3 linked regions of the Sus scrofa genome follow. The protein of the gene in region 3 interacts with the protein of the main gene of each other region in a pairwise test. Links are inferred from orthologs where the notes say so. Each region holds a gene or a part of one and is shown on either strand. Other genes may lie near its edges.

Region 1 (7,603 bases), on a different chromosome or scaffold from region 3:
TCTGTTGAATGAAAATATCCTCTTATGTGAACATGGGAACATTTCAACTAAAATGCAAAAACCAAGTAATACCTGAAGGTTACGCTTGCTTTTCCTAATGTTATGCTGCAACAAAAAATTATTCTCCAAGGAAAATCGACTGTACTGATCATCCAGCTGCGACAGAAGGTCATGAAAACGGATGGTGGCAAACGAAACATCATTGGCAGCGTGCTCCCTAGGAGATTCAAATTTTACACACTTCATTTAGATACTACTTTAAAAAAACACACAAAAGCAGACATTGCTTTCTGTTCTGAAATTATTAAAAAATAAGGTATTTTCTTGGGTTTTATTTCTTTCTTTGAAACTGCCAATGCTTTTGGCAAGAGTTTGTACAATATTTCCATTATATTCAATTACCATGAAAAATTCTAGCACCAAGACTGTTAACGCTGATTATCTCTGGAGTGAAAAACCAACAGGGGCTTTCGCTTTCTATATCGAACACTTTCAGAACATTTGAAACATTTGCAATGAATGAACAATACAATTCAATTCAAAACAAAACCATATCGGTTTTAAGAGATATTTCTTTAACTGTATTACCTTCTTCATACTTCTAATCAGTGTTTTCCCATAACTTGGCTTTAATTATTTCCACTAATTTCTTTCTTTTTTCTTTCAAAATAATTAGTATTAGCATTATCTAACTTGTCCAAAGTATTTAGGAGGATTTATAACTAAATCAACAAATACATAAAATTAACAACTAATGCATTTAGCTTTATAGAGACCGGTGCCATTTCTCAAGCCAACACACTTTTCTGCAACAGATGTTCCCAGTAGCTACCGGTGAGATTCATCTTCCAATCAACATGGCTCCAAGTTACTCAATCCACAAGTCATTTTCAAAGTGTAGAAAAACAACTTCTTCTGTCAAGTGATTTCCTTACCAGTCCTGATTTTCTAGCCACTGTGCCAGATATTGTCTGATTTCCATGGGAAAACTGTCATCGTAGAGCTGATGAACCTGCTCCAGGAATTTGGAGTCAAGCTGCTGAAGCTCATACCACTGGGACATCCTATAGGGAAACAGAACAAAGATCACGAAAGGAAGCCCACAGCGCCAAAGAAAGCCGTCCAGCATTGTGCTGCTTCTAAATATCTCGCTTAGGAGTTTCCGTCGTGGCGCAGTGGTTAACGAATCCGACTAGGTACCATGAGGTTGCGGGTTCGATCCCTGCCCTTGCTCAGTGGGTTAACGATCCGGCGTTGCTGTGAGCTGTGGTGTAGGTTGCAGACGCGGCTCGGATCCCGAGTTGCTGTGGCTCTGGCGTAGGCCGGTGGCTACAGCTCCGATTCAACCCCTAGCCTGGGAACCTCCATATGCCGTGGAAGCAGCCCAAGAAATAGCAACAACAACAACAAAAAAAAAGACAAAAAAAATAAATAAATAAATAAAATAAAATAAAATAAAAATAAATATCTCGCTTAGTTCAAAACATAATTTGTTTCTGAAATATACTTTTTTTTTTTTTGTCTTTTTGGGGCTTCACCCGTGATATATGGAGGTTCCCAGGCTAGGGGTCAAATCAGAGCTGTAGCCACCAGCCTACACCACAGCCACAGCAATGCACGATCCGAGCCGCATCTGCGACCTACACCAGAGCTCATGGCAATGCCAGATCCTTAACCCACTGAGTGAGGCCAAGGATCAAACTTGCAACCTCACGGTTCCTCGTCGGATTCATTTCCACTGTGCCACGATAGGAACTCCTGAAACATACTTTTAAAATGGTGTTTATATTCCAAAGCCTGTTTTTTAATTGAGTTTGGGGTCGGTATTTTTTTCTTCTCCAAAAAACACATTCTCAGATTTTGCTCAAAAGCCAACATATCAGGGAAGCCTTCTCTGACCACTTTCCTTAAATCGACACCACCTCTCACCCTGGAAAACAGTATCCCTCCTTCCTGACGTATTTTTCTCCACTGCCCTTACCACTATCTGACCTAGCATGTATTCTCTTTTCTATTTTGATTACTGTCTGTTCTCCCCACACGAAGGCAGGTTTGGTGGTGGAGGGGGGTAGGGAGGGATGGCTTTGTTCACTGCTGTATCTTCAGAACAGTGCTAGACATAGTAGGCGTTCACCTGCCTTTAAAATGAATCTGCACTTTTATCGAATAAACAAATGAGAAATACTAATTAGATTTGCTTTAGGACAAGTAACACCTCTTTAAAAATTGCTCTCATAGGGAACTCCCATTGTGGCTCAGGGGTTTAAGAACCCCACACAGCATCTGTGAGAATGTGAGTTTGATCCTTGGCCTCACTCAGTGGGTTAAAGATCTGGCATTGCCATGAGCTATGGTGTACGTCAACTGGTTGACCCCGTGCAGACTCAATCCCAGTGACCGAGTCAGCCGGGACACCTGGTCAACCCCGTGCGGACTCAATCGCAGGAAGCTGTAGCCACTGGCCTACCACCACAGCCACAGTCAGGACAGATCTGAGCCACATCTACAACCTACACCACAGCTCATGGCAACGCCAGATCCTTAGCCCACTGAGTGAGGCCAGGGATCGAACTTGCATCCTCATGGATGCTACTCAGATTCATTTCTGCTGAGCCACGATGGGAACTCCTACATGGCAGTTTTGAAGATAAAAAAATTAAAACAAAAACCTGATTTTAAGAAGTCCTAATATTCACAAGGAAAACGAAGAACCTCCCTTCACCAGAGCATAAATTAGGATTTACATAAGCACACAGCTGACAATATTCAGAACGAGTATAAGTGAATCGTGTCCTACCAGGCCTCTGGGGAAGGGGTCTGGATTTTTAAAATTACAGCAGGGCATGAAAGCGTGTGTGCATGCTGCAGCAAGCACACAGGTGCGGGCATGAAGACATGAAGCCATGTCTATGCCACAAATTTCCTTCCAAAGAAAGGAAAGGATGTGGTAGGACTGCAAAGCTAGTTACCATCACAAAATACCAGCAAAAATGGACCCAAGTCCACTCCTTTGGTACACTTGCTGCAGCAATTTGATTTTTCACTTCAAATTTATTTCACCTGAGCAGAAGACTCTAAATCTGCAGCACTTTCCTTCCCTACTAGGTGTCTAATACGGATATGCCTAACGCAAATATACTGGCCAGAATGTCAACCAGCAGGAGCTACAACACCTTTTTGGGTGAGTGACCACAGGTGACTCCCATCCCTATCACCAGGTTGGCTGTTAAGACTGAATGAGGTAATACAGACACAGCACCTGGCACAAGGCCAGCAATCAATAAATTCATGCTAACAAATCCCAAATCCACCCTATCTTCCCACTAAACTTGTTACCAACATAGGGAGTAGCAAGACTATCCTCCAATCACCTGACTTCCTCCTCTCCAGTCCCAAGGTCTCCTTCCTCCCTGCCTCCAACACTATTTCCCCAGCTAGTCTTCTGCTGACATGGGTTTTGGCCACATCCCTCTCTTGCTCCAAATTGCTAGTTTGCCCCATTACCAGGCTGATTTCCACCCTCACCCTATTTTCATCCTTTAATAAAGCAACCCAGTGACCAAATTACCTACTTTTTTGTTACTGTTTTTTGTTTTTTGTTTTTTTTTGGCTATGCTCAACATTTCTGCTTTGCTCCAGTTGTCACTCACCCTTTAAAGGAGCTTCCTCACAAATTTCTGCTTTTCTAAATTCTACCAGCATCCAAAAGTAGGTACAAATGCCCTTCTTCCATAAGCTATTTGACACTTACCTAGAAACAATTAAGCTTTCATTGACTTTACGCCTCACTGCATTTTGTACCTCCATTAGAGCATCAGTCACTCTCTCCCTTAAAAAGCTCTGTGATGTCTACCCTGGGTTTCTGGAATTATGTCTTTAAAAAAAAAGTCATCTCCACTTTGGAGAGTGTCCTGCACATAGTATGTATTCGACAGTTTGTTGAATTGAAATTCAACACATTTCAGATTGAATTAGAAAGTAAAGGGAAAATCATATTATGATTCAACAAATCTGAGTCCTGCACCAAACTGCAAACTGGAGTATGCTGGTAGCTCATGTCTTATTCCTGAACCATAAAAACAACCTATCCAACTTATAAAAACGACATTCAAAGCGCAATCATACACTTATTTTTCTTCCCCCAAGCTCTTTGATATTAGTTAGAATTTTTTTAAAGACTAATTATTATTCGGAGGTCTGCAGAACTATCACTTTTACATTCCAAGAGCAAATTAAGCTCTTTTACCTTTAAACGTAGATATATAATTAAGTCCCGAAGCCATGTACTCATTTATTAGTTTCCATGAACATTTACTAACCTTCACCTTGTGCCCAAGCAAAGGGCTGATGATTCACACAAGCAGCGGCTACACACAGCACGTCAGAAGCCAAGACTGTTTTGCATGCACAGGGTGCGAGCGTCTTAGCTCTCTGGGGGTGGCACACGCAAACAAAAACTTTCTGCAGAAAGAAGAAAACGTGACTGTGGTGGAAAGGGGCAGGAAGGAGGGGAAAACGAGAGTAAATGGGAAAATGCAGTGTTTCCGGGGGCGGGGGGGATTCTATCTTACAAGACATTTTCTACTGCCAGAGAACGACTGGCTGGGGCAACCTTACTATCACCGAGAACGAGCACCTGAGATTATGTGTTCTTTCCCTGATTTCGGATTAAATCTGTCAGCACTTAAAAATCCGCCCTCGCCCGGCGTCCGGCTCCAGGTCCTAGACGACGCCAGTCCAGTCACTTCCCGCCCCGACACCAGGAACCTCACACGCCCACTCACTCTGTACTCTGGATCCCGCAGGGACGGGACGGGGAGCGGCCGTGCAACCTCTCCCGGGAGCGCCGAGTCACCTCTGTCCCATCTGAGGGTCTGACAAGCGTCCTTCTTGGTGTGGCTGGGTCTCTCCGCAAACCCAACGCTGGAAAACGAAAGTACCTGCTGGGAGAAAAGGCAGCGCCAGACGCCCCACCTCCTTCCGCTCCCGCCAATCACCCAGAGGCTACCTCTCTCGACCAATCAGATGCGGCTGTTCCGCGCTCGCGCCACCCCCCCCCCCAGGGGTGCCGCTGTTCAGCCAACCCGAAGGGTCGGTCCGTAGCCTTTGGGCGGGGCTCTCTGGTAGAGAACGGGAAGCTTCGCTCCGTGATGTAAATTGCGGGTTATATTTACACATATTTTAGAGAACAGGAAGTTCAGTGTTTGCCTCTGCCCAAACTTTAAGATCGTTATATTAGCCCCAATCCTAAGAACCTAAGACAGACGACACAGGTGTAGATTTTGTCATTGTAGAAGGTCAGTTTAGCAGCTGACATGTTGCTAAACCCAGGGGACACTTTTCTGTCTTCACCTGACCACTCAGGAAACTTAGGCACAGTTGACCCCTCCATTCTTTAACACTTCGTCCTTGGCCACGATGACGACACGTCTTTGTTTCTTCCTCTCTCTCTCTAGTATGCTTTCTCCATCTCTGCTCCATCTCCACCACCAAACTGTTCAAACTTAAGTGTTGTCAGGGTCCAGATCTTGGTTTACTTTACCTACACTTCTCACGCTCTCCTGTGATGACCTCATTCACAGCTTCCATGTCCTTCTTAGATATGGACAACTTCTGCGTGTGTACCTTGTCCACACCTCTCCTTCAGAGCTCCACATCTACGCGTACAGCCTGCACTTGACTCTCCACTTAGATGTCTGGTAAGCTCTGCAACCTAGTTATGTTCAGAACCAACTCATCATCTTCCTCCTCAAACCTGCCCTTTTTCTAGAAATGGTGTATGCCAGATAACTAGGAACTACCTTTGACACTGCCTTCTCAGCCCTCACACCGGCCCTCAAGCCTCCTTGATTCTTCCACCTAAATGTCTCATCACTTCTTGCTATTTCCTATGCTGTTTCCCCCACCCCAGTTTGGATTCTTTCAGTAGACTTGGATTCGTTTCAGCCCTCAAATGGCTGCCTCACTCCAGTTCTTAACTCCCTTTTAATTAGTTCTCCCTACAGCAGCTCCGGTGGGTTGGTTTTTTTGTGTGTGTGTTTTTTGCAAAGCACATCGCATGTTGCCAACCTGAAAATCCTCTGATGGCTTTTCTTATAAAATCCAAATTTCTTAACGTAGCCTACAAAGCCCTGGTCCCCTGTCACTTTCTTTAACCCCGTCTTGTGCCACTCTTCCCTTATCTCAGCAGTTTTGTTCTTCAAATAAGACAAGCTCTTTCCCCAAACTCAGAACCTTCTCACCAGCAGTTCTCCATTTGGAAAGCCCCTTAAGCCAATATCCCCCTCCCCCAACTTTTTTGCTAGCTACTCATCTTTTATGTCTTAGCTAAAACCTAAGCTTAAAAGTCACTTCCCCAGGTAGGAATCCCTGAGGCCAGCCTAGATTAGGTCTTCTTAGAATGTGTGGCCCATAAAAACAATTGATTTCTCCAAGAAGATGAGGCTTGAATCAACCTAGAAAAATAAAGCAACTTTGGGTAGGAAAAGGATCTAAATAATTTCCGAGAGGTGGGCTTATATGTGTTCCTCTTACAGTGTTTTTTTCCCTTTTCACATCTATATGCTCCTTCTTCTTGTCACATATTCACCCACACAAAGGCAGTGCTGAACTGGTGATAGCAATGACCATTGGTATTTAAGTAGCAGCCTTCTGTGAAAATGGATGCTAGGCCACCAAAAAAAAAAAATAAATAAAGCCCTTCCAGTTCTACTTACCTGCACTAGGGGCTCAAACAATGTTTGAGAAAAGCTGACTCTAGGAAGAGTAGATAACATATTAAACACATTGCTTCTGTGGTTTTGTTTTTGTTTTTGTGCACAGAAACTACCTTCAGTACCAACAGGGGAATTAAATAATCTTAACATCTGCAAAAAGAATGTTTCTCTTTGGATCGCCACATTCTGGATGTCCTCTAGTTCTATGGAGTCTTCCTTCCCTATGCTTTTATCCTTCTTAGCTTTCCCATCAGTGACAATACCCCACTGTAGGCCTTCATTACTTCAGAACTGGAATGCTGCAACAGACAACGGTCACACTACCTTTTCCCTGTTTCTTTCCCCTTCTCTGTATTTGCCAGATTAAATTCTCTAAAGCACTATACTTATACAGTCCTTGCCTGCGCAAGTCTTGGCAATTCTCATTGCATTTATGATAAACACAAACTTTGCCTGCTAGTCTGGATCCTCTACAGAATGTCCCTAACATGTTTTGGGGTGTTGGGTTACTTTTTATGATTTTCTTTTTTCTTGTTTTTTTTTTTTTCTTTTCCTCCCAAAAATGTCTGCTAGGAGCATGACTTTCGACATCCAAACACCTTCACGAACACCTTTTGAAGTCCTTTGTTTTCAGAACAGCAGCCCGTGTCTGCCCAGGATGGGCTACCCTCCAGCAGATGGAGATCGTCAGGTTGTCAAGTTTCCGAACAGCTGGGCCGGCGCGCGGCGGGAGGGACGTGGATGCTCGGAAGAGCCGCCCCACGTGTTTTCGGAGAAACAGCCCGGGAGCGAGAAGGCATTGGATTGAGAGGAAACCGAAAAGCGAAAGTAGGAGAGACCAAGAGGGAGCAGTACGCAGGCGCAGGCCCGGGGTTTTCCCGCTGGCT
Region 2 (7,626 bases), on a different chromosome or scaffold from region 3:
TATACCCTGACCTGATGTCTGCTGAATACCTGCTCGATGCCAACCAACACAACCCATTAAGTGAAGCTCCTTCTTCATAACCACCAGGTAAGGAGTGTTATCCCCACATGTGGATGAGGACACAGAGGCTTAGAAAAGTCCAAGAGTTCAAATCACAGGACAAGTGACACGGATATCTGAACGCCCACCACGCTGGTAACAAATCCAGAGCTCCTTCACCAAAGTTTATCGAACAATCTGGAGATTTCGCCCTCAGATAATAAACAGATTCTAAATAAAGTCTGAACACCGATCTCTAAGAACCCTTCTCCCTTTGGAGAAGTGCTGCACATCCTTATCCTCTGTTTCCTCTCACTAAGGCAACTGCTTAGCAACAAAAAGTTCACACGTCAGTCCTATGGTGACTTCATTTTTAAATGTTTTTTTTTTTTTAAATATGGAACTCTATCAAGGAGATTTAAAGGCTAAAGATATTGCCTAGAAGTTGCCGTGTATCCACTTGCTCACAGATCTCCTCGAAGAACTTCAGTTAGAAATCACATCACCACCACCACCACCGCATGTTTCGTGTGTTCAGTGGGTACATCCTTTTCACCAGCTCCACCGGTTTGCCTGGTTGAGTGCCTGAGTGCTGAGATTCACTCAGATCCAACTCTGGGTCCTACTCACACGCAGTATTTCTCATACATACACCGGGACTAAGGCTTATCCCTCTAGCCTTCCAGCATTTAAAAAATTATCATGAAGACATCACGGCTTTCCAGCCTCCTGTAACCTAACTGCCTGCTTTCTGTGGGTTCTCCTTTGTGTTTCAGACTTTGGCCCCCCAAGCCAGGCTGACTATGTCGCCTCTGTTCACCCCAAGCACAAGTTCTTTACCTCAGGCAGGAAGGCGCTCTGTCCACACACGCAACTGAACTGCCAGCAGCTCACAGTGGCCCCACTGCCTGGAAAGCCCTTACTACTCCTGCCTATCCAAACTCTATCCATCCTCTAGTCTGATGCAAATCCCATCTCTTCCATCGGCCTTCTCTGACCTAGCTGTTCTCCACTCATCTCTCATTCTAGAAGCCTTTATTCCATGCATCACTCATTCTGCACTCAATCCCAGCTGGAAGGTTTATGTCTTGCCCCTTGAGTTCCTAGAAGATGAGGACCATGACATTTGCTTTTCTGGAAGCTCCCTTCTATGCCGAGCAATGCGCAGTGTGGTTGCAAAATTAGTATTTGTTTTATGCATCCAGGCAATCTTCCTGTGAAATCCATAGCATTGCCAGAACCTTCTCTCTTCTAGACTGTTTCTGGCTCTCCCAGCTCCAGGCCAGCGACTCCCTTGAAATATTGCCACCAAAATGCAGCTAAATTGGTTTGTGACAAGAACTGGGGCTGCGTATGTTGGTGTACGTACATGCTGAAGGGACATGCCATGCAAACTCTAAATAGGATGAGCCCTCTGATGCATAAACTTGCCAGCAAAGAAGACCGTAAGAGATTTTCCCACAGAATGTTATATATCGCTTTCTAGAATGTGTATTTTAACCATCAGTGTTGGATTTATCAGAAAAGCCACAGATATTTTTCAAACCCAAAACAACATTTTCCTATAAAAATCATAAACAGAAACAGGAGTTCCCTTGTGGAGCAGAAGAAATGAATCAGACTAGGATCCATGAGGATGCTTCCCTGCCCTCACTCAGTGGGTGAAGGATCCAGTGTTGCCGTGAGTTGTGGTGTAGGTCACAGACAAGGTTCAGATCCCACGCTGCTGTAGCTGTGGCCAGCAGCTGTATCTCCTACTGAACCTCTAGCCTGGGAACTTCCATGCACCATGGTATGGCCCTAAAAAGAAGAAAAAAAAACCCATAAATAGAAAACTAACTACTTAAAGAAATCAAACCATCTAGGTAATCAGCTTGACGGAATTAAGATGAGAGCTAAACAAATCACTGGAAACTCAATTACATTTTCTTCCCTTCACAGTGATTTCTTTCTTTTTTTCTTTTTGTCTTTTTAGGGCCGTCCCCACGGCATATAGAGGTTCCCGGGCTAGGGGTCAAATCGGAGCTGTAGCTGCTGGCCCACATCACTGCCACACCGGATCCCAGCCACTGTCTTCGACCTACACCACAGCTCACAGCAATGCCGGATCCTTAACGCAATGAGCAAGGCCAGGGATGGAACCTGCATCCTCATGGATGCTAGTCAGATTTTCCACTGAGCCACAACCGGGAACCCCCACAGTGATTTCTTATATGGCCTATCAAAGAATCTCAAATCAATACTTCTGATTTCAAATATGAGACAAATCTGATTAAAAAGCTTTACTGTTAGAATGCTAAATCAAGTCATCTAGTTTCACGAAAACAAGACCAAACAATTACTTTTATAATTATAATTCATTACCTTATGCCTAAACCACAATGATAATCAGCCATTAAAAAAGAACCAAACACCCTCATAATGGAACTGTCTGTGGAGTTCCGAGTTCGGGTAAAACAAGCGTGAGAAATGATCTCAATGAGATTATCATATTTAAAAGGTGGCAAACCCTACTTCCCACCTGACTGCCATTGTTACCGGCCTCAGGATAGCTGCTCAAGAGAATTTCTCGGGGATAAGAACAGCACCTTTTATTTAGGTATGAAGCCAGAATGATGGCCATTCTGTGGACTACAATGAGACTAAACAAGGATCCCGAGAATCAACCAGCTTCAACCTGGGGCAAAGCCCAAACAGCAAAGGGAAAGCGAAATTCTTGGTGAGCACTACTCACTGATCTTCTGTTCCAAAAAACTTTACAAAGAAGCATTTCTTTCCACGTGGTTTCTTTAAGTCCTTGGGTGGGTTAACAATCTAGGGAATAAAAGGGGGAAAAACAAATTTTTTTCCCCACAGTTATAAGTTGGTAAGGGAAAGAAAAAACAAAACACAAAAGAAATACATCTTAAAAAAACAAAACCAAACACAGGGCCTATTTTATGTCCAAATCTGGCACTCTTCTACTGAGACGTGGAAATGTGCAAATATTCTAGAAGTTCCCTGTGTCTGTCATGTAACACAGTGTTCAGTAGATACAATATCCCTTTTACTAAAACGGCCCTGTTTTAAAAGCAGACCAACATCATTACCTCCTGTAATGTGACCCTGTCATTATGGAAGAAACGCAGAAAACACTCTTAAAAATACCTCTGTGCAGGAAGAGTTCAGACAGGTCAACAGTGACAATGAAGTAACAGTGACAACACCGAGACACTGAAAATGCCATACTGCAAAGAGTCTGAAGACATTTCCTAGGCTCCAAACAAGAATATAAAAACAGATCGGTTGGAAAGCTATGAAGGATCACTTCGTGCAAAACGTGGAATGCCAGCTTCTGCAATGCACTGGAGCAGCACATATGGTAAAATGCAAAGAAGATTTAAACTCAGTGGGACAAAAATACTTTGACTTTTCACTAGCCTACATTTAGATTTTTCTTACTGGAAAATTTGTTTTCTTCTCCATTTATTAGATTTATGTGCAAAGCTAAATTCAAGTTAGAAAGGATTTTCAGGATGAAAAGACTTTTCCACAAACCACCTCTGATTCAAGAAACAATAACATACTGTAGATTTAATGACGTGGTTTAAATTACACTGCCTTTTCTAAAAAAACTGACAGTGGAGGAAAAAAAAATTCTCCAATGTTATTTAAATAGGCCCAGTTAAACTCAATGTTAGGAATTCAAGGGACTGCATCTTATACTCTCCACCTCCTCAAACTCAACTTCAGATGTCCGCCAGTCACTCACCTTTCCCGGCCAAGGAGGATACCGGCCGAGTTTCCCCCTAGAGAAAACACAAAGAGTCAGCATTTGCCCTGGAAAGGCCAGTCCGTCTCCTTCAACCCACTCAACATGCAATTTATTTTCCTAAATCTCCCCTTCGACGCTCAAGTGCCAGAATAGAAAAAGCTGGGAACCAGAAGTTCTTATTGTGGCATCCACAGCTGGGCCCAAGAGGCCCAAACCCCTCAGAAATGCAATGCAAAACTGTAAACTTGTGTGCATTCTTCCGGTGACAAGGGATACAGAAAAACAAAACTACCAAGAGTCGTTTGTCCAGAACCTCCCCGGGACGTGACGAGGGTGGCGGGACGGTCTGCTGTGTAAACACAGACTTCCCCTTACAAAGTCTGGTTTCATCCCCCAACCCGGCTTTGACAAATGCTAATGGAAATCCTTCCTCTAGACTGAGAAATGAGCTACGCAGCTCAGCTGGAGGGAGGCGGCGACAGTAAGTCTTGGTTCGGGCGGTTGTCTGGGACACAGAAGCAGACCAGGGGAAGCACCCAAGGAGAAACTGGTCCCTGCCAAACCTCCAGTTGTAAAGGAGAAGTCCCCACTCCGTTTCTTCACAGGACAGTGCCAGCAGCCCGGTTTCGACACTCCCGGCTGAGCCGCCCGCACCGGTCGGTGCCATCGCAAGGCGGGTTTCGACGGGCAGGCTGGGACGCGATGGCTCCGCAGGCTCCCCGGCTCTCCCGCTTTCCCGGGAGCCCCAACCAGACCCCGAGGCGAGGACCGGGCGTCCGCGGGAGCCGCGCGGCGCTGGGCACTCCCCAAACGGTGGCCGCTGGAGTCCGGGTCCTGTGCGCAGCCCTCTCCACAGCTCAAAGCCGGGTCCGCCGCGGCCACCCTCGGCCTCAGTCCCCCCGGGCCAGGCTGCCCCTTCCGCCCGGCGTCGCTCCCAGCGCCCGCACCCCGCCTCGCCCACTCTCCGCCACCTGAAGCGAAGAGAAAGGCAGCCCCGGGGCGGGCTGCGAACCCCACGCACAGGGAGGCAACTCCCCAGCGCACATCACTCGGCCCGGGCCGCCTGGACTCACCACACCAAATCGCCGAGCCGCAGACTCACAGTCGCCATCTTACCACCCAACCACCGCCGGCGCACGGGCAGCCGGGAACATCAGGTCGTCCCGGTGCCGCCCATTGGAGTGAGCCCGGTCACGTGACGGGGGCTGACCGTAACCGGACACGCCGCTGCTCTGACGTCACCGCGCCCGCCCAGGCTCATAGGCCGGCCTAGCGGCACGTGACCCGGGCGCCGCGGTCTCCGCGCGCCGGAGCCCGGAGACTCCCGGCTTCTTCCCCCTCCCTCCGGCTCGTGACAACGTAGCGCAGCGGTCTGAGGCGGCGGCGACGGTGCGGCCGGCGGAGCGAGCGAGTCCCCGAGCTAGGGAGCAGGTCCTGCGGCCCGCTCCGCCCCAGGGCCCTGGCCTTCAGCCCCTCCCCCTCGGCGCTTCCGTTACGGCCGTTAGTCCTGCGCGGGCCCGGGGCCGCCCGCGTCTCCGAGCCGGCAGCTGCCCTGACGGACTTCGGCGCGGCCTGGAAGCCAGCCTCCGCCCGCGCCCGGGGCCTCGCGCCCGACGGGCTCTTCGCGGCCGCGCCCGGAGGGCGGACAGGTCCTTCGGAGGGTGGACAGGTCCTTTGGAGCGCTCTTTCTAACGGCCGGCGTCCAGGGAGAGGCTCCGATCCTGCGTCCGCGTCGCACGTTCTCCTGGGGCGCAGTGCTGCCCGTCCCGAAGTCCCAAGTTGCCCGGCCGACGTGGAGCCGGCGTCTCTCTGCTTCCTCCTGGGCCGGCGCGTCGGCACGGCCGGCGAGGCCCCCCGGGCGCGCGGGGACCGGGCCATGGGCCGTGGCGCGGGCCGGCCGACCGCCGGGAGGCATGGCTCGGTGGCCGGCCGCTAGCAGCGCGGCAGCCCGGGCTCCCGGGCCGGCATGAGGACGGCCACGGGGGAACGAGTGCGGCCCGCGGGGCCGTAGCCTGCGTCGCGCCGGGGACAAAGGTACGTGTCTTTGTGGGAACTGGGCTCTCACGTAAGCTTTGTTGTGGTTTGACACTTTTAGGGAAGTTGGAAACAGGCTGTTTTGACAACAGGAAGGCAGACGCTAAGCGTAGTTTCAGTATGTTCAAACTAAACCATTGAATGGGGAATCTTGAATAACAAGCAGTTTAGCACAGCGTCTGCCTAAATATCACCATCGCAGATAGAATGTAAAACATTTTAAAAAGGTTCCAATCTCAGTTTGAGAACCCAGGGAGTCTAAGTCAAGTGTTAACTTACCCGGGACTTTTCTTGAGTCACCGCCTGCATGAAAGAGTGGCAGGTCCACGGGCATCTCTCATAGGTGTCGTGTTATACAGAGACTGGGTGTAAACGGGAAGTTTTTAGCGAACTGACTTGTCCGAAGCCTGGTTTCTCTTTGGAATTCAGTTTCGCTGAAGTACCATCAGCTAGTTTCAGGAAGTGTCATTTACTGGTAACTATTTTGTGTTGTTTTAAATACAAATCTATGATTTAAAGCGTATTTAAGTTTCCAAGAGGGAACACTAAAATTCAACACACCTTCCTAACTTAATTTTTGAGGAATCGAAGGGTACGTTAATGACTTCATAAAATACACAGATCTTAAATCAACATCACATTGGACCTAGAGACATTCCCATTACAGTCAGGAACATGGCAAAGAATATATTGTCTAACATTCTGGCAGTTCTAGCCAATGCAACAAGACATGAAACAAAAATAAAACGTATTTTTTCGGAAAGTAGGAGACAAAATTTTTCTTCTGTGAATGTTACTCGACAGCCTATTTTGAAAAGTGCAAGGGAAATCCATTAAGTAAGAGTTCATTGAAGAGACTAATTACAAAGTCAGCATGCAAAATTCAGTTAGTTTTTCTACATTTTTACCAATAATCAGTTTGAAAATATTAAGAGGGTATGTAACAACAAAAAAATACTCCTGAGTATAACCTGAGGTACAGAACGAAGTTGTTATTTTGGGGTTAGCATCTGTTGAGGTTTTTTAAGAGGGGTGGTTTTGTTTGTAGAATACTGTGCTTTTATTTAGAATAATGTTCAACTCATTAAAATGCTCAGCTCATTGCAATTGAGTATCCAGGAGTTCCTACTCTGGTGCAGTGGATTAAGACTCCGACTGCAGCCGCTCTGGTTGCTTCAGAGGCCAGATGCAGTGGGTTGAAGAATCCCTAGTTGCTGCATATGTGGCATAGATCACAGCTGTGGCTCAGATTCATTCCCTAGCCTGGGAGCTTCCATATGCCATGAGTGCAGCCATTTTAAAAGAAAAAAAAATTGAGTATCTTAAGTGCTTAGCTTTTAAAAGCCTTTTAATCTTTGTTGACAATTTTATTTTTACAGATCTAAAAATGCTTATGTAAAAATATATTTGATTTTTGACAAATTTTCAATTAAGGCACCAGTTTAACAAATTGAATACCCCCAGTGAACTCTTTTTAAAAATTAAATTCTGGAGTTCCCGTCATGGCACAGCGGAAACAAATCCAGCCAGCAATCATGAGGTTTTCGGGTTAGATCCCTGGCCTCACTCAGTGGGTTAAGGATCTGGCGTGGCCGTGAACTGTGGTGTAGGTCGAAGACTCGGCTCAGATCTGGAGTTGCTGTGTCTCTGGCGTGGGCCGGAGGCAACAGCTCCCAATTGGACCCCTAGCCTGGGAAGCTCCATATGCCGCGGGTGTGGCCCTCAAAAGACAAAAAAAATAAATAAATAAACTCCCTCAGATGTTCTAACCTGAATTCAAAGTTTTATATGGTTGTTCT
Region 3 (7,499 bases):
TGGTGTAGGCTGGCTATAGCTTTGATTCGACTCCTGGCCTGGGAACTTTCATATGCCACAAGCGTGGCGTTAAAAAAAAAAAAAAAAATCTGCAAAGATCTTAGCTGTAGACCCCGTTCACCTTAAACAATCAACAACTAACAGGTCAGAGTTCCCACTGTGACTCAGCGGTAACAAACCCAACTGGTAGCCATGAGGCTGTGGGTTCAGTCCCTGGCTTCACTCAGTGGGTTAAGGATCCTGCGTTACCATGAGCTGTTGTGTAGACTGGCAGCTGTAGCTCGGATTCAACTACTAGCCTGGGAATGTCCATATGCCATGGGTGTGGCCCTAAAAGACAGAAACAAAAAAACACAGAACAGGACAAATATGCACCAAATAGAAGCCTAACTCACATTACCTGAATTTCTGTATTTATCACCTGTCACTTCTCTCTTCACTAGACTGTAAAGCTGAGAAAAATTCACCCACCCACACCCCCGCTGCTCCCGCCTAAGCCTAAGAGAACAGGGCAGATTGCAAAAACCCTGTCCACTCCTACCGGAGGCCAGGAGAGCACATGACGATTATCAGGTAAACCCTCGCCCACATCTGGTCCACCCTTTTCCTGGCAGCGCTGACTCCAACTGTCTTCCACCAGGTGCTGCCTAGCCCAGCTGACCACGCTGACATCTGGAACACCCCAGCCCACCTGGACCCCAGGAAGGGATCAACCCACACCCTCTCCCACATCACTAAGGGATTGAGACACTCCGAGGCACCTGGCCCAAGGCCCACGTGGCCAGGATGGCTGCCCTCTGGAGCCAGAAGCTGCCGGTTTCGACGTGCACTGATAAGGAGTGTGGCAAACCTGGCCGGGCCCTGGGGAACAGGGAGCTCCCAGCCCACCTGCTTTCCATGGACAGAGCCCAGGCATGAAGGCCACTGACTTTATTGATTTAGAAAACTTTACAAGGACAGGAACTGTTCTGCCAAAAAGAGGGCCAAACATGGCATAAAACAGATCAGAAGTGAGGGTAGGGGTAAGGGCCAGGACCAGGAATTCACTCAGAAAAGCTGGTAATTGCTGACATGAAACTGGCAAGGAAAGGAGAAGGGAGATGCATGCAAGTGTGAGAATTCCAAAAAAGGTGACATGGTGAGGGGAGAGAACTCCCAAAAGATGCTGGAGTACGTTGGAAGTGCACACAACAGCAATCTTTTCCTTTGTAGAGGATGGGGGAGGAGTCCTGGCTTGGCTGCAAACTCTGGAGACTCAATGCTGGGGCTTGGGGTCGGGGGCTCCCCGGAGGGCATCACAAGAAGGCATCACACCACTCCCGGAGGCACCCGAAGCAGTCCCGCGACTGCTTGGCATTGGCGCCACACGTGTCCTTCAGCCATTCCCGGAAGAGGTCTTCATCTTTCTTGAGCACCAGAAACTGGCCAAGGACCACATAGGCCTGCAAGACAGGCAGAGGGAAGGGCATGCTGCTAGGTGCTCTGCGGACCAGGAACGAGGCCCTCAGCCTAGGAAGCAGGGCCGGCTCTGGCTAGCCCTGCAGAATACATGCCACTGCCCACCCCCAACGGGTCCACTCACTCTCCTCCCGCCCCAACTGCCAGGAAAGAGCCCAGCAGGCCATCCTCAGCCCTCCCCAGCTGCACGCAGCCACCCCACACCTTGTCAAAGCCCCTTTCCTCCAGCTTCTTGCCCAGTACGTCACCAATCCCGGCCAGGCTTCCCACTGGCTTTTCCCCCATGGGCTCTGCCACGAAATCTCGGTGCTTTTGGGAAGTTGTCATCTTGATCAAGCTTAACCTGAGAATCCCAAGAAAAGGCAGGTTAGGGCTGAAAACCCGGGAACTCCTGAGGGCCCACTACCAATCTCACAGTTAAGAGGACGCTCGACCAGTCATCGCAGAAGCTTACTCGCTTCTCCCCCCACTTCACGGACGAAAAAAGCGAAGCCTAAGGAGTCTTTTCCTCACTATTCAAAAGAGAAATCTCTTCCACTCCTTGCAGGAGCTGGTTTCGGTACCACCCCAGAGGCAACACTATCTTGCTCTAACAGGTGGCGCACGCAGAGCAGAGTCAAGATTCCAAGAGTCTGTCAGGACCCAGGGCTCGCCCTGAAATTGTCACTCCTCGGTGACCTTGGCTGGGCCCAAGTGGCACTGACCCTGCCTGCAACGGCTACCTGGCCCGTAAAGCAAATGAAGGACTCTGTCCCACCCGGCCCGCCAGCTAATCACAAAGCAGAAGCGAAGCGGCTTCTCCAGCCCGGCGGGCTGCACGCCAGGGCTCCCGCCGCGCCCCACGCCGCCGGCCCCGCCCCCAGCGCGCCGCGCCCCGCCCCCTCCCCGCGCCTCTGCGCTCGCGCGCCGCGCCCCGGCCGATCCCTCTCCGAGGGCGCATCCTCTGGCCCGCCGCAGTGCTTGAGGCGCCTTTCCCCTTCTCTTCCCCGCGCCTCCGCCAGTCTCCAGCTTGGGCCCTGCACCGCGGCTCGCACTCACCCGCAGCTCCGGTTCCCGTAACGGCCTCTCCCGCCACCCGGCCGCTCCTGCGGATGCCTCGACCCGCTAGAACTTTCGCCCCACTTCCGCTTCCGGGTCGCCTCAAGAGCCGCCTTAAAAAAAAACCCAAAATTACATTGGGCACCTCTAGCCGCGTGAAGTCATAGAGTTGAGATTGGGCCGGGGTTGAGGGGGCGGCGCGCCAGCGTGCGTTTAGGAGGCGCTCCTTTCCGGTTGCTTTGCGGGAAGCCGGGCAGCTTTCTGTGGTCTCACTGCTCGGGAAATATTTCCGGTCTGAGGGAGCAGAGGCCTGGGAGGAGAAAACTTTATTTCTCGGCGGCGCGACATTTGGAACTTAAGGATTAAACGTGGCCTACTTGGTGGTGGGAAGAATTAGAGGAGCGGACAAGGAGGGAGGTGTGGCTGGGAGGCTTCCGAGAGAGCGCCGGAAGTAAGGGGTTTCCTCGGGCCGGCGCGTGCTGTCTTCCTCGCCGTCCGGCTTGTAAGAGACTTGAGTCCAAGGGGTCTTCACCGGCGCGACCGCCGGCAAGTCCATTTTCTGTGCGCTCGTTGACTCAGCTACAAAGCGAGTCGTTGACGAGACGTGTTCAGCGTCCAGCCTGGAGAACGGGGTCGTTCCGCTTCAGGCATCGCCCGTGGGATCCGAGGGCCAGAGAGTAAGTTTGGGTTTCTCTCACTGAGCGTCTTTCCTTCGGGGTAGGAAGGGAGGAGGGCAGGCAGGGGACGGCAACTAGAGATGACACTTCGGCGTTTCCTTTGGAAACCGGCCGTCTTCTGTGTGCGCATCAGTCCTCGTCTTCTCAGTACCCAAATCATAAACAGCAGATGCCAAAGACCATGTCGGCCGGCCCTGACCTTAGTTAACTTGTTCCTAACTTGAATTCTTCTCCCTGGTCCATGTCTGTGGTATGTTGAGAGATTGAGCATCTGTTTGTGTGGCTGTGCTACGCTTGGGATGTACAGGCATACCGAAGAAGAGTTTATGTGATTCTTTCTCCCCCTGGTTGCCAGAATGACTTGTTTTCCTGAAACCCGTGTTTAGTTTTTACCGTTGTATTTTTAAATTTGTTTATTTGTTTTGGCCGTGCCTGCAGCACATGGAAGTTCCCGGCTCAGAGATTGATTCTGTGCCACAGCAGCAACCTGAGCCCCTGCAGTGAGAATGCCAGATCCTTAACCTGCTATGCCACAGGAGAACTCTTGTCACACGAGTTGTTTTTACGTGCTTTACAGTGCTAAGTGCTTTGCTTATGCTCATTCTTAGAGCAGTGCTCTAAGTTAGCTATTGTTTTTCTCTGAAGTCTAGAGAAATTGAACAGTCATGAAATACCCAAGGTGGGATTTGAATGCAAGTAGTTCTCCTTAACCTGACACTGTGTCCTCCCCAGTAAAAGGTCCCTCCCCATCTTTAGAATAGTCCTTCTGAGACTGCCATCCAAGAAACTCAGGGAGAGGAGCTGACAGTCTCTGCATCCCTCACCCCCACCCTGGGACAGGACCCAACAACATGTCTCAGGCCACCAAGAGGAAGCACGTGGTGAAGGAGGTGCTGGGGGAGCACATGGTGCCCTCCGACCGGCAGCAGATCGTCAGGGTGAGTGGCACTGGGGTGGGGACAGGGTGACTGTAGCTCAGCAAGGGTTGCAGCTGGCTGATAATGCTGACTGGTACTTGGTCTCTTCTGGACCAGGTGCTCAGGACCCCAGGGAACAATCTGCATGAGGTGGAGACAGCCCAGGGGCAGCACTTCCTGGTGAGCATGCCCTCCAAATACCGCAAGAACATCTGGATCAAGAGAGGTGAGAGAGGCAGCCCTTTAGGAGACCAATTCTGATAGCCTTGGCTTCCCTCTCTGCCAGCAGGGCTGACTTCCCTTTTCCTTTTCTCTGTCTGTAGGGGACTTTCTCATTGTTGACCCTATTGAAGAGGGAGAGAAAGTGAAGGCCGAGATCTCCTTTGTGCTCTGCAGAAATCATGTGCGCGCTCTACAGAAGGAAGGGCTCTGGTAGGGTGAGCCCCTTGGTCACTGGCTGCATGGCTTCTGAGGGACCGACTTCCTAGCACTGGAATTGGGGGGAGGGGAGGTCCCAGTGTCCCAGGCTGGATCAGCTGGAAATAGCTTTTTTGCCCAGAGGTTTCTCTGTCCTTTCTGACCTTGGCTCTTCTCTTGGCACAGGCCACAGGCCTTCTCCGAAGTGGCTGAGAAACACGATGATAACAGTAACAGGTGAGGCACAAGTCTCAGAGCAGGAAGCCAGAAAATGGGGCTTCTGGCTGTGGTGCCCTGAGGGAAAATAGAGCCTTCCTCCCTTCCTATGCAGGGGCCGTGGCAAGCGCTTTTACATATGTGGTTATGCACATGGCTGGAAAGTCATGTCTTCTTCAAATCCTGGCTTTGTCAGTTCTGAGTAACTTTAAGCAGGTTAATCTCTTAAGCCTGATGTCATTGCCTGTAAAAATGGGAGCTTTGTAAGAATTACAGAGGCTGTTGGTTCTAAAAGTGCTTAGTATACTATCTGGTAAGCAACGTGGGTTCATTGAGTGTTAGTTGGAGTTGATATTATTAAAATTAGTAGCTCTAGGAGTTTCTTGGTGGTACAGGAGGTTAAGGATCCAGCGTTGTCACTCTAACGGCTTATGTTCCATTCCTGGCCCAGGAACGTCCAAATGCTGCAGATGCAGCCAAAGAATATGTGTATGTATGTATATTAGTAGCTCTAGAAACCTTTATTTAGGCTTGGGGGTGGAGAGGTAGTTATTAGCCTGTTTCGCTCTGATTCGCTCCCTGTTTGACTCATCAAGCCACATGGTCCTCCTTTTTGTGGCGCTCCTTGATAGAAGGTCTGGTTTTCCTAGAAGGCATTGGGCTAACTCTGTCCATTTCCCTCACGCAGACAGACTCAGCCAGAACTCCCAGCTGAGCCACGGTTGTCAGAAGACAAGTCCAGCTCTGAAGATGATTCTGACCTTTTTGTTAACACCAACCGCAGACAGTATCATGAGAGTGAGGAGGAGAGCGAAGAGGAGGAGGCAGCCTGAGACCCCGGACCCACTTCTCCTCTGGCTGAGACTCGCCCTTGGATCCTCTGAGCTTGGACATTCCCAGGGTGCTTTGCAGATCTTTCCCCCTGGATGGGGACAAGGCAGGGCCCCTCTCTGAACTGACCTTCTGACATGGGAGAATTAAACCCCTGGTGGGTGGTGACTTAAGCTGGTGTCAGAGTGGCTCTCTGGAGGGAGGAGGGACATGTGGGTAAAAACGGCCCCTTTGGGAGTTCTCTGATGGCCTAGCTGGTTAAGAATCGGACCTCACTTCTGTGGCCCAAATCACGGCTGTTGGGCGACTTTGATCCCTGGCCTGGGAACTTCAGCTTGTTGCGGGCAAAGCCGAAAAAACCCAAACTGCTCTTTGGTGGTAACCTCATGGGCAGGAATGGCTGGAATCTTTCCTAGGTTTCCTCCGCTCACTGGGCTCTTAGTAAGTGCCAGGCCTGCATGTGCTTAAGAACTGGGAGTGTCCCCTTCCCCCATTGCCTGCTTGCAGTTAATGGCAGTGTAGGCATTCAGGATCACAGTGGGACTTGGTGCCCACCTGCCTCCAAGAGACACTCAGGGAGAGTTTCACAGTGCCTCGCAAGCTGCTTTCCCCGGCTTTCTAGTCACATGATGCAGGAGTGCCCACTTCCCTGCTGCTGTGTACGTCTCCTGGTTGGTGGTTTCTTTGGCTACTCCAACCATCACTGCTCAGTCCCCTTGCAAACCACATCATCCCATTTCTCCTTGGAAGGTTTTTCCCTCTGACTGTACATTCTCTCTCCTCTTCGCTGGCATTGACCTTTTAGTCACTGCTCAGACATAGAGGTTTACCTCCTGGCTTGGAGTCTTCTACCCCTGCCTCTGATACTGTTTTCTGCATCCCATGGGTGGGCTGTTCCACACCATGGCCCCCTCGTTCCTTGATCTCCCCGTCACTAGTGCCCTTGTCTTCTATTCTAGGCCTGTTTCCTGTATCCCTGGTCACTCCGGACCCCTGACATTACTAGAAGTTGCAGTGCCATTTGAATCGAAACACCAGTGCCGGCGCCACCTCCTGGCTTTCTTGCTTACCCGCTCAGCTACTTCCTCTGCAGAAATTCTTTTTCGTCCTCCGGCCCTGCAACATTCTCACCATCATTCTCCTGTCTCCCCTCCTTGCGCAGCATCATTGCCCTGTGTCTGCACCCTGGACTCCCCCTCTCCCTCCATTACGCTCATTCGTAAAGCCTGCCCCTGGTCAGCCCAGTCACACACCTCTGTGCCTGAACCCAAGTAACTGTGAGGGAAGACCGCCGACCTGGCTCACTCGTTGGACCTTAAATTCATACTTGCAAACCACAGTGGCTGCTCAGCACTGCCCAGCAGGTCCAGCCTGGGATGTCTCACTTGAAGACTCTCTTGTTTGCCAGTTCCCCCTCCCCTTCTGGTTACTCACCGCAGCTCTTACTTCGTGAAGAAATAGTAGCCCTGGGAGGGAGTTACCGCCTCCCCATTACCAACCCTGCAAATGTGTCTTCCTGCCGTTTTCCTGCCCGGGCTTGCTCCAGTGGGACTTGGGCTTTCCCTCTTGTGCTTTGGAGCCTGTCCCTTCCTGTTTAAGGACGAATGTGAGTTTTAGGTTTTGCCATCCTCTCTACTGCATGTGTCAGCATCAAACACGCTGTAGACGCTCCCATCTGAAAAACAACCATGAAACCTGTCACTGATCCCACGTCCTCTGGCTACCACTTCATTTTCCTGCTTTTACACTTGCTTAGTGTAGTCTTAAATGTATACTCTGTGTGTGTGTGTAGGTGTACACACACATAATAGAAATATATGAATATGCATCTAAATGCAAAAAGCTAACCAGGTGAGTTAAAGATATGCGTGTGTGAGTATATTTTTAACTTGTCTGAAGTTTATGTATTATGGGAGATGGCTGACTTTTTTTCTTAAAGGGATAG

What was found.
Region 1: the proteins of EIF1AD (region 3) and STAT1 interact in binary tests that used the Homo sapiens proteins (3 or more experiments, as listed by UniProt). The two-hybrid records come from large-scale screens. The link is inferred for Sus scrofa from reciprocal best matches to the Homo sapiens genes EIF1AD and STAT1.
Region 2: the proteins of EIF1AD (region 3) and GLYR1 interact in binary tests that used the Homo sapiens proteins (3 or more experiments, as listed by UniProt). The two-hybrid records come from large-scale screens. The link is inferred for Sus scrofa from reciprocal best matches to the Homo sapiens genes EIF1AD and GLYR1.

What each region holds. Positions count from the first base shown.
Region 1 is NC_010457.5:95,641,329-95,648,931, forward strand, and holds the start of STAT1 (signal transducer and activator of transcription 1), read right to left. Parts: upstream 4,992-7,603; 5' UTR 4,785-4,991; intron 4,462-4,784; 5' UTR 4,320-4,461; intron 1,085-4,319; exon of another isoform or gene 1,065-1,084; 5' UTR 1,064-1,064; coding exon 936-1,063; intron 218-935; coding exon 73-217; intron 1-72. UniProt on the Homo sapiens protein: Signal transducer and transcription activator that mediates cellular responses to interferons (IFNs), cytokine KITLG/SCF and other cytokines and other growth factors.
Region 2 is NC_010445.4:37,552,722-37,560,347, reverse strand, and holds the start of GLYR1 (putative oxidoreductase GLYR1), read right to left. Parts: upstream 4,992-7,626; 5' UTR 4,905-4,991; coding exon 4,867-4,904; intron 3,828-4,866; coding exon 3,791-3,827; intron 2,854-3,790; coding exon 2,774-2,853; intron 1-2,773. UniProt on the Homo sapiens protein: Cytokine-like nuclear factor with chromatin gene reader activity involved in chromatin modification and regulation of gene expression. Acts as a nucleosome-destabilizing factor that is recruited to genes during transcriptional activation.
Region 3 is NC_010444.4:6,332,536-6,340,034, forward strand, and holds the start of EIF1AD (probable RNA-binding protein EIF1AD), read left to right. Parts: upstream 1-2,346; 5' UTR 2,347-3,173; intron 3,174-3,905; exon of another isoform or gene 3,906-3,929; 5' UTR 3,930-4,024; coding exon 4,025-4,111; intron 4,112-4,207; coding exon 4,208-4,316; intron 4,317-4,413; coding exon 4,414-4,522; intron 4,523-4,693; coding exon 4,694-4,744; intron 4,745-5,411; coding exon 5,412-5,556; 3' UTR 5,557-7,499. Other genes in the region: BANF1 (barrier-to-autointegration factor), read right to left, coding at 1,296-1,442, 1,663-1,785.